2 linked regions of the Mus musculus genome follow. The protein of the gene in region 1 purifies or fractionates together with the protein of each later gene. This does not show direct contact. Links are inferred from orthologs where the notes say so. Each region holds a gene or a part of one and is shown on either strand. Other genes may lie near its edges.

The links. Proteins that work in one complex are often made in the same cells at the same time.
Region 2: the proteins of Ift57 (region 1) and Coro1a purify together in Homo sapiens (affinity purification with mass spectrometry; 3 studies listed by BioGRID and IntAct, counting the BioPlex papers as one, with this or other methods). This does not show direct contact. The link is inferred for Mus musculus from reciprocal best matches to the Homo sapiens genes IFT57 and CORO1A.

What each region holds. Positions count from the first base shown.
Region 1 is NC_000082.6:49,697,906-49,702,113, forward strand, and holds the start of Ift57 (intraflagellar transport protein 57 homolog), read left to right. Parts: upstream 1-1,388; 5' UTR 1,389-1,432; coding exon 1,433-1,644; intron 1,645-3,948; coding exon 3,949-4,111; intron 4,112-4,208. UniProt on the Homo sapiens protein: Required for the formation of cilia. Plays an indirect role in sonic hedgehog signaling, cilia being required for all activity of the hedgehog pathway.
Region 2 is NC_000073.6:126,701,966-126,706,050, reverse strand, and holds the start of Coro1a (coronin-1A), read left to right. Parts: upstream 1-1,234; 5' UTR 1,235-1,399; exon of another isoform or gene 1,400-1,623; intron 1,624-1,830; exon of another isoform or gene 1,831-2,082; intron 2,083-2,855; exon of another isoform or gene 2,856-2,876; 5' UTR 2,877-2,877; coding exon 2,878-3,075; intron 3,076-3,922; coding exon 3,923-4,045; intron 4,046-4,085. UniProt on the Homo sapiens protein: May be a crucial component of the cytoskeleton of highly motile cells, functioning both in the invagination of large pieces of plasma membrane, as well as in forming protrusions of the plasma membrane involved in cell locomotion.

The DNA of each region.
Region 1 (4,208 bases):
CCTAATTAAAACAAAAGAAATTTAAAAAAAGTTTACAGAAAAGCTGTCTGTCTCAAAGTAGTAGTTGAGGACTGATATAGAAGGTTGTCCTCTGACCTCCACCTGTGAGGCGTGCAATTACCCAGTTATCCTTGGATTTCTCATCTCCATTTTATTTTCTACATAAATCAGTAGTTTTATGTGTGTCTTTTATTTGATGAATAGCAATGTTTTTCATTTGGATACCTTTATTAGCATTAGAAACAAGGCTGATTAGAAAGAAAAACTCTTCCTTTTATCACAAGGATTTTTACAAATATGATTCAGATTTTAATTATGTCAAAAATATGATCCTGCTACATTATTTAGGGTGTGATATAAGCTGTTGATGACCCCTTAACAGGCACAGGGTTAATCAGACAAATGTTACACCTCTTGCTTCTGAGTTATCTTAAGAAGTAGCTAGGCAACTTCTCTTCGCTTCACTTCTTATCTTTAACTACAAGAAAGATTGCCTGATGCAGTACTTTATTGTAAGGATAAGTCACATCCCTGGTCAGTTATGTCTCCATGTGTTTTCTAGGTCAATACGTGCTGACATAATAGCAGAAATGTTCTTATCTAAATGTAAGTGCTACAATGCAGCACTTCCTTTCCAGATACTATATTTTGTGGGATTTCATTAGTACTCAAGAATTTAAATCTGCATGGGCTCGGAACAGATTGAGGCCAATGTGTGTGTGGTATAAATCTTTTCCCAAGCTGCCCTCTTCCAAGCAACCGCTTTCCTAATGGAGTGAGATAAGATCATTGTAAGACTTTAAGTCTTATTTAGAATATACTCGTAAGTCTAGCACTATCTAATAAGCAATTAAGTTAAGAAATAGACTAGCAGTCTTGCGGGTGGAATTTCTGAGGTAATGTGAACCTAAGGACAGCGAGTTTCACCACAACTTCCCACTTTGAGAAAATAAAACAAGAATCACTGAGCAAGCATAACCTCCAACACTCTGTTCTGCTTCGTTTCAGTCCTTTGAATTGCTACCTCGATGACCAGATGTCTGTTCATTCAGCAGCCCTGAGCAGAATACCAGATCCTGTGCTCCTCTTGGCTGTACTCAGCATGCAGCGCTAAATAGCTGGGGACCCTACGCCTTTAAGGCGCGCGGGAGAGGCGGAAGAGGTGGGGGACGATGCGCCACGCCCATAGGGCGGAGCTACCCCCTAGGCCAGGGACCAGCATGGCGTGACGTCACGTAAGAATCCAGCTTTGATTGGTGAAAATTTAGAGAGGCCGGCTGGGAGCGAAGGAGGCGGGTCTGGTTGCCGTGGTGACCGGCTGCCCTGCGGTTGCCTGGTAACGGTGGGGACTGTGCGGTCTGTGGGGTGCGGGCGGCGAAGGCTGCAGAGATCCTGGCCGGAGCCCAGCCGGGCGCTGGGGGTCTGAGCAGGGATGGCCGCCGCGGCCGCGGTGATCCCGCCGTCGGGCTTGGACGATGGGGTGTCTCGGGCTCGCGGGGAAGGCGCAGGGGAGGCTGTGGTGGAGCGCGGGCCAGGAGCGGCCTACCACATGTTCGTGGTGATGGAAGACTTAGTGGAGAAGCTGAAGCTGCTCCGCTACGAGGAGGAGCTACTCCGAAAGAGCAATCTGAAGCCCCCGTCCAGGTGCGTGCCTTGCCCCCAGCGCCGGGTGCTGGCTGGACCCCAGGGGGACGCTCCCCCTTAGGTGAGGCGAAGACCCCGCGCGGGGGTCCTTACATCCCTTCCTCTGGCTTCTGTGCTCAGGAAGGAAACTTCCGCACTGTGGAAGGTGTAGTTTTTCAGACTTGATCATTTTGTGGAGAAAGTAAACAAGTTTTGTAATGGCAGGGAGGACTGGGGAAGACAGTCTGCCCATTTTTCAAAACAGTCACGCACCGTCTACCAAACACAAATCTTGTTTTAAATATAATAAAATACCCAAAGTAGAAAGGGTAGAAAAACCTATCTCTAGCGATGAGCGCCCTTATCATTTAGATCTCTTTCTAGTTTATGTTTTCCTTTGCTAGACTTTGTAAACTAACAACTGTGAATACTTAGGACATTTCTGAGCAGCACTTGTTATGTAGTAAGTAAACTTGTGGGCTAATTACTATGGTTCAAACGACTTAGTGCTTTTGCAACAATACTCTTAGAAAATGGGAAGTGGAGAAGGCAAATGAAATAAGTGTTTGGAATGGCCCTCAATATAGGACCTAAAGTTCCCGCTTGCGGTAGTGGGGAAAGTTTGGAATATCCCCAAGGCAGAGCCTATAGTTGTCAAGAGTGATAGACAAAAGTCCCTCCTGTAATCATGGTAGCTTAGTGATAACTGTGTTCTATTGCTTTTTTTTCCCTCTAAATCCCGTGTTTGTTTTATTCTGTAAGAAGAAATTAAAGAGTTATTTATCGTACTTTCTTTTCCATCAATGGGACACATATCATTTCTCTTGGCAGTTTTAAGCTCTTACCCTCTTCCAGACAGGTCTGGAAGAATTCTTGTATAAAATCTGCCCACAATGCCAAGTTAGTCTGTAAAAGGAGAAAAATTAGAGAAGAAAGATCATCTTGATCCTGATCCATAATAGAAGTTTCTAGATTGGGATTATTATTTAAAATAAATTGGTCATAGTAATATAGATGGCCAACATTTTTGGTGGGGATAAAAGTGTTAAGTTTTTCAAATTTATCTGTCAAACAAAGGGAAAGTGGACTTACTATTAATAGTAATATTATTAACGAGCTCTTATTAATGCCTTGCTGTACTGAAACTCAAAGCTTGAGCAAGACACTTTGTACCACGGATTTGTGTGGAGATATTCTAGCCAGTAGGTCAAGGTGTCACCATCAGACTAGCACGTCCACATCACCTGGGGATGTAGGAAGAAGTTGTCAGGCTCTTGTCCAGGTCTGCCTTTTCAGAAGGTCTGGAGATAAAACATCTGTAGGTGATTCTGATATACCTTCATGCTGCCGAATCCCCATCACAGGCCCACAGTATCTGTCAGTGTCCCTTCCTCTGGCCTCAAGGAGTGATAATAAGGAATAAACAGTTATTGGTGGGTAAATTCCTTGTAAACCTGTACCTGAACATTTATACTTTCTGGATGGAAAAAGTTTAGAAAATAGAAGTATAGATCACTGATTCTTATGTAATTGGTTTTATACATACACACACATTTAAAAACATAAGTCATTAGTCTCTTTAAATTCATATTATATATATGTGTATATATATATGTATGTAATAGTGATAGCAACATAGAGAAAACAAAGCAGATCTCTGATTCACCTTTTGGATGATGCTAGTTGTACCTTTTATGTCCTCCTTAGCTCTGTACAAATCTACCCTCATGGGAACATATCTAGTACAGTAATGGAATTAGCAAAGTGCAGCAGTGGTGACGTGTGGGGACCTCATGGAGGTTCTTGTTCCTTTCTGAAACCCTGCACCATCTAAGTTGGGAACCTCTGAAATGTACCTGTGTAGGGTTCCATTCCCATAAGTTATGGTTGTGCAGGACTGAGGGAAGACGCTCCTGGCAGCACTTTAAGGAGTTGATTGGAATATGTAGCTAAGATGTTTGGCATAGCTGGTAGGCTACAACCAGTAAAAACATGCTAAGTTATTAGTCTCTTTAAATCCACAGTTGCCACTTGGGGGGCGGAGGAACTTACTCATGACCAGTTAATTGATTTTGACCAAACCTTCATGCCATTCTCAAAAATTACTACCTTCCATTCCCTGGTTGTAGGGGGTTTTGGTCAAATATTTTGTGTGCTGTAGGGATTGTCCCTTGATACTAGCTCGAAACGTTCTGAGTGCCGTGAATCACTAGATCGTTCAAGAGTATTAATGAAGGATGCTTGAGGGACAATTAGCAACTTTGGACTTACTCACTGTTGACTTGCTTTAGCTTACACATCCAATCCTCCCTTCCTTTGAAACAGACACTACTTTGCTCTGCCTACCAACCCAGGCGAGCAGTTCTACATGTTTTGCACTCTTGCTGCGTGGCTGATCAACAAAACTGGCCGTGCCTTTGAGCAGCCTCAAGAATACGACGATCCCAATGCAACTATATCTAATATACTCTCTGAGCTTCGCTCTTTTGTAAGTGAGATACTCTCTTCTCCGTATTCTCAGACTGTGGATTTCAATAGTAACAGTTCAGTAACAGGTACTAGCCTTTCAGATGACTCTTTTGGAA
Region 2 (4,085 bases), on another chromosome or scaffold:
GGCCAAGATCACACGGCTAATCAGTACAACTGGAGCCCCTTCTGTTCTTTCGAACTACTTCTACCTTAAAGAAGAGTTTCTTCTGACTGGGTCTTGCTATGTAGCCCAGGCTGGCCTCCTGCCTCAGCTTCCTGACTACAGATGACTGTCAGCACACCTGTGTCCTTGAGCTTTGCTGACACTGCGCCTCAGCCCCCTACCCTTCTCCAGAGCCACTTGTGGTGTTTCCTCTTCCTCCCAGGATAGCCCAAAGCTTTGGTAAATGGCAATAATGAAAAGAACCAACATCTTTTGGGTTTTTGAAACAGGGTCTCACTATGTAGCCTTGGTCTGGAGCTTACATGTGGACCAGGCTGGCCTTGGTTTCACTGACCCTTCTGCCTCTGCCTCCGTAGTAATGGATTTACAGGTGTGGGCCACCATATCTGACTGTAAGACCCCAACACTAATTAATACCTGCCACTCTGTAGATGCAAATCCAGCTATCCTTGGAGTGACCATCTCCATACGAAGGCAGGTAAGACTGTTATAGACAGGAAACTGGGGCTGAGATTAAATTAACCTGCCCAAGGTCACTCAAATGAGTGACAGCCAGGAGTCACAACAATGGTTCCAGCAAAGGCCTTTCTTCCTCTGCCCTTGCTACCGTGACAACCCACTCCCCTCAAGGGACAGGAATGGACCACAGCCCAGCTGTGTGTGATATCAGACTTCTGTGTGTACTCAGTGGCTTTTAAACTGTGTCAGACGGACTCCCGACTCCCTCTTCTCATGGCCCGAGAGCTCTCTAGAGGGGGAGCACTACTCATTTGCCTCCATAGCCCCAGCACAGAACAGGTGCTCCATAATGCCCAGTTATTTTACTTCTTCCGGGCCTCAATGCCACGAAGCAGAGGACAAGGGTGTCCCCGCTGAAGCCCTAAATCCCTAGAAAGGAGAAATGACCCCCCCAAGGCCTCCCAGAAATCCATTTGGGGTAACGACAGGAGAGGTCCCTCCTGTAGCAGAGAAGGCTCTCAAGCTGGTTGAAGCCGTTCTAAAGCTTTCTCCGGTGCCAGGGAAAGGACCTCGAGGAGGCAGCGGGCGGCTGGGGGAGGGATGAAGGAACGGGATATTTTTGCGTTCTGACATTAAAAGAAGAGTTGATTCGCGTCAGCATCTGTTCGGGGGTTGGAGCTGACAGCATGGGGAGCGGTCCCAGTCTTGCAGCCCTGGAGCGAAGGGCCGGGCCTCCATGAGCTCCGCCCAAAGGGGCGCTACCACCCGGAGGAGGCCGGCGCACGGCCGCTGCTCATTCATTGTCTTGACAGAGCATCCTCGGTGGCCAGCCTGCAGCTCCTCCATCCTTCTCTCCTTCCTCCTCTACTTGGGAGGGGTCACGCTCAGCTCTCCGCAGCAGGTGAGGCTGGGCGCCGGGGGAGGGCTGGTCACAAGGGCCAGGCAACGCTGCCATGGGCCACCTGTGGGGCCAGCGCCAGTGTGGGGGCAGGACTGTGGGACTGTGGGGGCGGGCGAGCTGTCAGAGCCACCAGGCTGGGGACAGAGAGCCGGTTTGTGAGCCCCGCCAGGAGGATCGAGGACGAGGGAGTTCGAAGGGGCAAGTAGGTCCCAGAGTGCTCCAAGGTGAGGGCTAAGGACCATCGTGACCAAGATGGAGGTGGGCTCCTGGGAGCGGCCGTAGCTGGGCTCAGAACCTATGCCCCGGGGAGGGAGCTTCTGAAGGTGGGGGATGCAGGGTGGGGTGAGCCAAGTAGCTGCCCTGAGCTTTGAGACAGGAAGGGGTTGAGTGCAAAACAAGACTAAGTTCCCCTTTCCGTGGTTTCCGGGCTTGGTACCTGGGTGGGGGAGGAGGCCGGGTGGGGCACATCTTCCGCCCCTACCTTGGATTGGGCTTTCCTTCTCCCAAATCCAGACTGCTCACTGGGGTCTTGTGTCCCCTTCCTGTCTTGGAGACTTCACTCAGGCACTTCACCTGCTTTTATTTTTAATAGACCTGGGAGCCTCCTTGGTGATACCGGGGTGTGCGAGGACTGGAGTCCCAGCACGAAGGGGCTGAGTCCCCCATTAAGGCAGAGCAGATGGGTGAGGCTGGGGAGGTGGATAGAGGCTCTGGGCAGGATGCCTTCCACAGCGCAGCCGAGGTTCCTTTACTGAGCAGGAAGGAGGAGGGATTGGGCACAGGATAGAGGCAGCCCCTGGGCTTCACTAGCTGGCTGCCTAGCCACAGTGGGTAACCATCTTAGCGGACCTCAGGGAAGTCAGGGTGGGCCTCTCCTGAGTGTAGTTTAACGGAAGCAGAAATGGCTCAGAAGAACATCTGCTTTTTTTCTGAGCGGAGGTTAGGAGCAGAGGTCTGGGGAGATGCTGGGACCCAAGCCATTGCTGCTTCTTGTAGCCAGAAACCTGGGGAAGCCATCCTGCTACTGCATCCCTTCCTAGGCAAGCTGGCTTGCATCCCTCTGTGTGCCATCCCTGAGCTGGAAGGCCAGGGAGAAGCCCTGCCCTGCCTTTAGGAAGCTCTGTGTGAGGGATGTGGGATCTAGAAGAGTTCGATAGGAGGGAACCTATCTCCAGACTGTCTGGACCACTAGGAAGGAGGCACTGTGTCTTAGTCAAGAACCAGACCCTTGGAGCCACACCATAGCAGGCTGTTGTAGGGGCTGATGGTGCAGGATTGAGGGTGTGGCTTGAAGTGCCTGGGAATTTGACAGAAAAACTGGGGAGGGTAAGCAGGGAGATAAGCAAGCTGTCAGTCATGGTCAGGGTGCCTCAGACGCCATGCTGGAACCCTCAAGGCCAGGCCAAGGGTTGCTCTGGGGATGACAAAGTGCGGCTGGGATTGACCCAAAGAAAAGTTTACAATCTGTATCCTTCAGGATGAGCCGGCAGGTGGTTCGCTCCAGCAAATTCCGCCACGTGTTTGGACAGCCAGCCAAGGCTGACCAGTGCTATGAGGATGTGCGCGTCTCACAAACCACTTGGGACAGTGGCTTCTGCGCTGTCAACCCCAAGTTCATGGCTCTGATCTGTGAGGCCAGTGGGGGAGGGGCCTTCCTGGTGCTACCCCTAGGCAAGGTGAGCTTCCGGAACCTCAATGGTCCTGGGGAGGACTCTGCTGTCCATGGAGACTGTGGGGTCCTCAGTAGCTGACTGTGACCCAGCTTCCCTGGGGTTCTGTGTTGATATCTGTAAAATGGGACAGGGCCATTTGCTACTTAAGCTCTCTGGGGACAAAACAAGGGGGGCAGGTCCCCCAAATCTTGGCTTGGGGTTTTCTGCTAAGGATAAGGCTGCAGGTCTGGCGAGGACTTTGGGGACCCTTCAAGCGTAAGCCCTGGTGGAGACGAGGCAAAACCCTTTTTTTTCCTCCCCTCTGAGCCTGCTGTTCTTCAGCTGAAGTTCACTCCTGGACTCCTCAGGGGGTGAAACAGGAAGGGGAGATAGGCCCCAAGTTTTACCTTAAAAGGGCCGATGGAAGCAGAAGAGAAGAGGAAGTGGTTGTCGGGTTGAAGCTGGGCCTGCACCCTGCTCAGCTCCTTACACAGGAAGCAGTTGGCTCTCGGAAGAGGCCATTTCCAAACCTCTGCTGCTGTCTAGAGGCATCAGACAGACCTCCAGGCCCAAATCTATAGGACACATCCTATAGCACTCTTCTCACACTCTCCTCTTGGGGACCACAGCCCCATGCTCACCCTGGGTCCATGGTACCCACACATGACACTGAGAAAGAGGGCCAGGATCTTGGCCAGAGTCTCATTTGGTGCTAGCTTTCTTGGGACTAGACGATGCCAAGTCCTCCCCACCCCAGTGCTCCCAGGGACCCCACAGCCTTCCTCTGCGTCCCTCTGCAGGGGTGTGTGGGGAGGTTGGATTGGGTTCAGAGGTCAAATCGCCTCCATTAGAATCCCCGTTGTGCCCCCAGACTGGACGAGTAGACAAGAACGTGCCCCTGGTCTGCGGCCACACTGCCCCTGTGCTAGACATCGCCTGGTGTCCACACAATGACAATGTCATTGCCAGTGGCTCTGAGGACTGCACAGTTATGGTAAGTCTGTTAGGGATGTGTTCTGAAGGAGTCTGGAAGA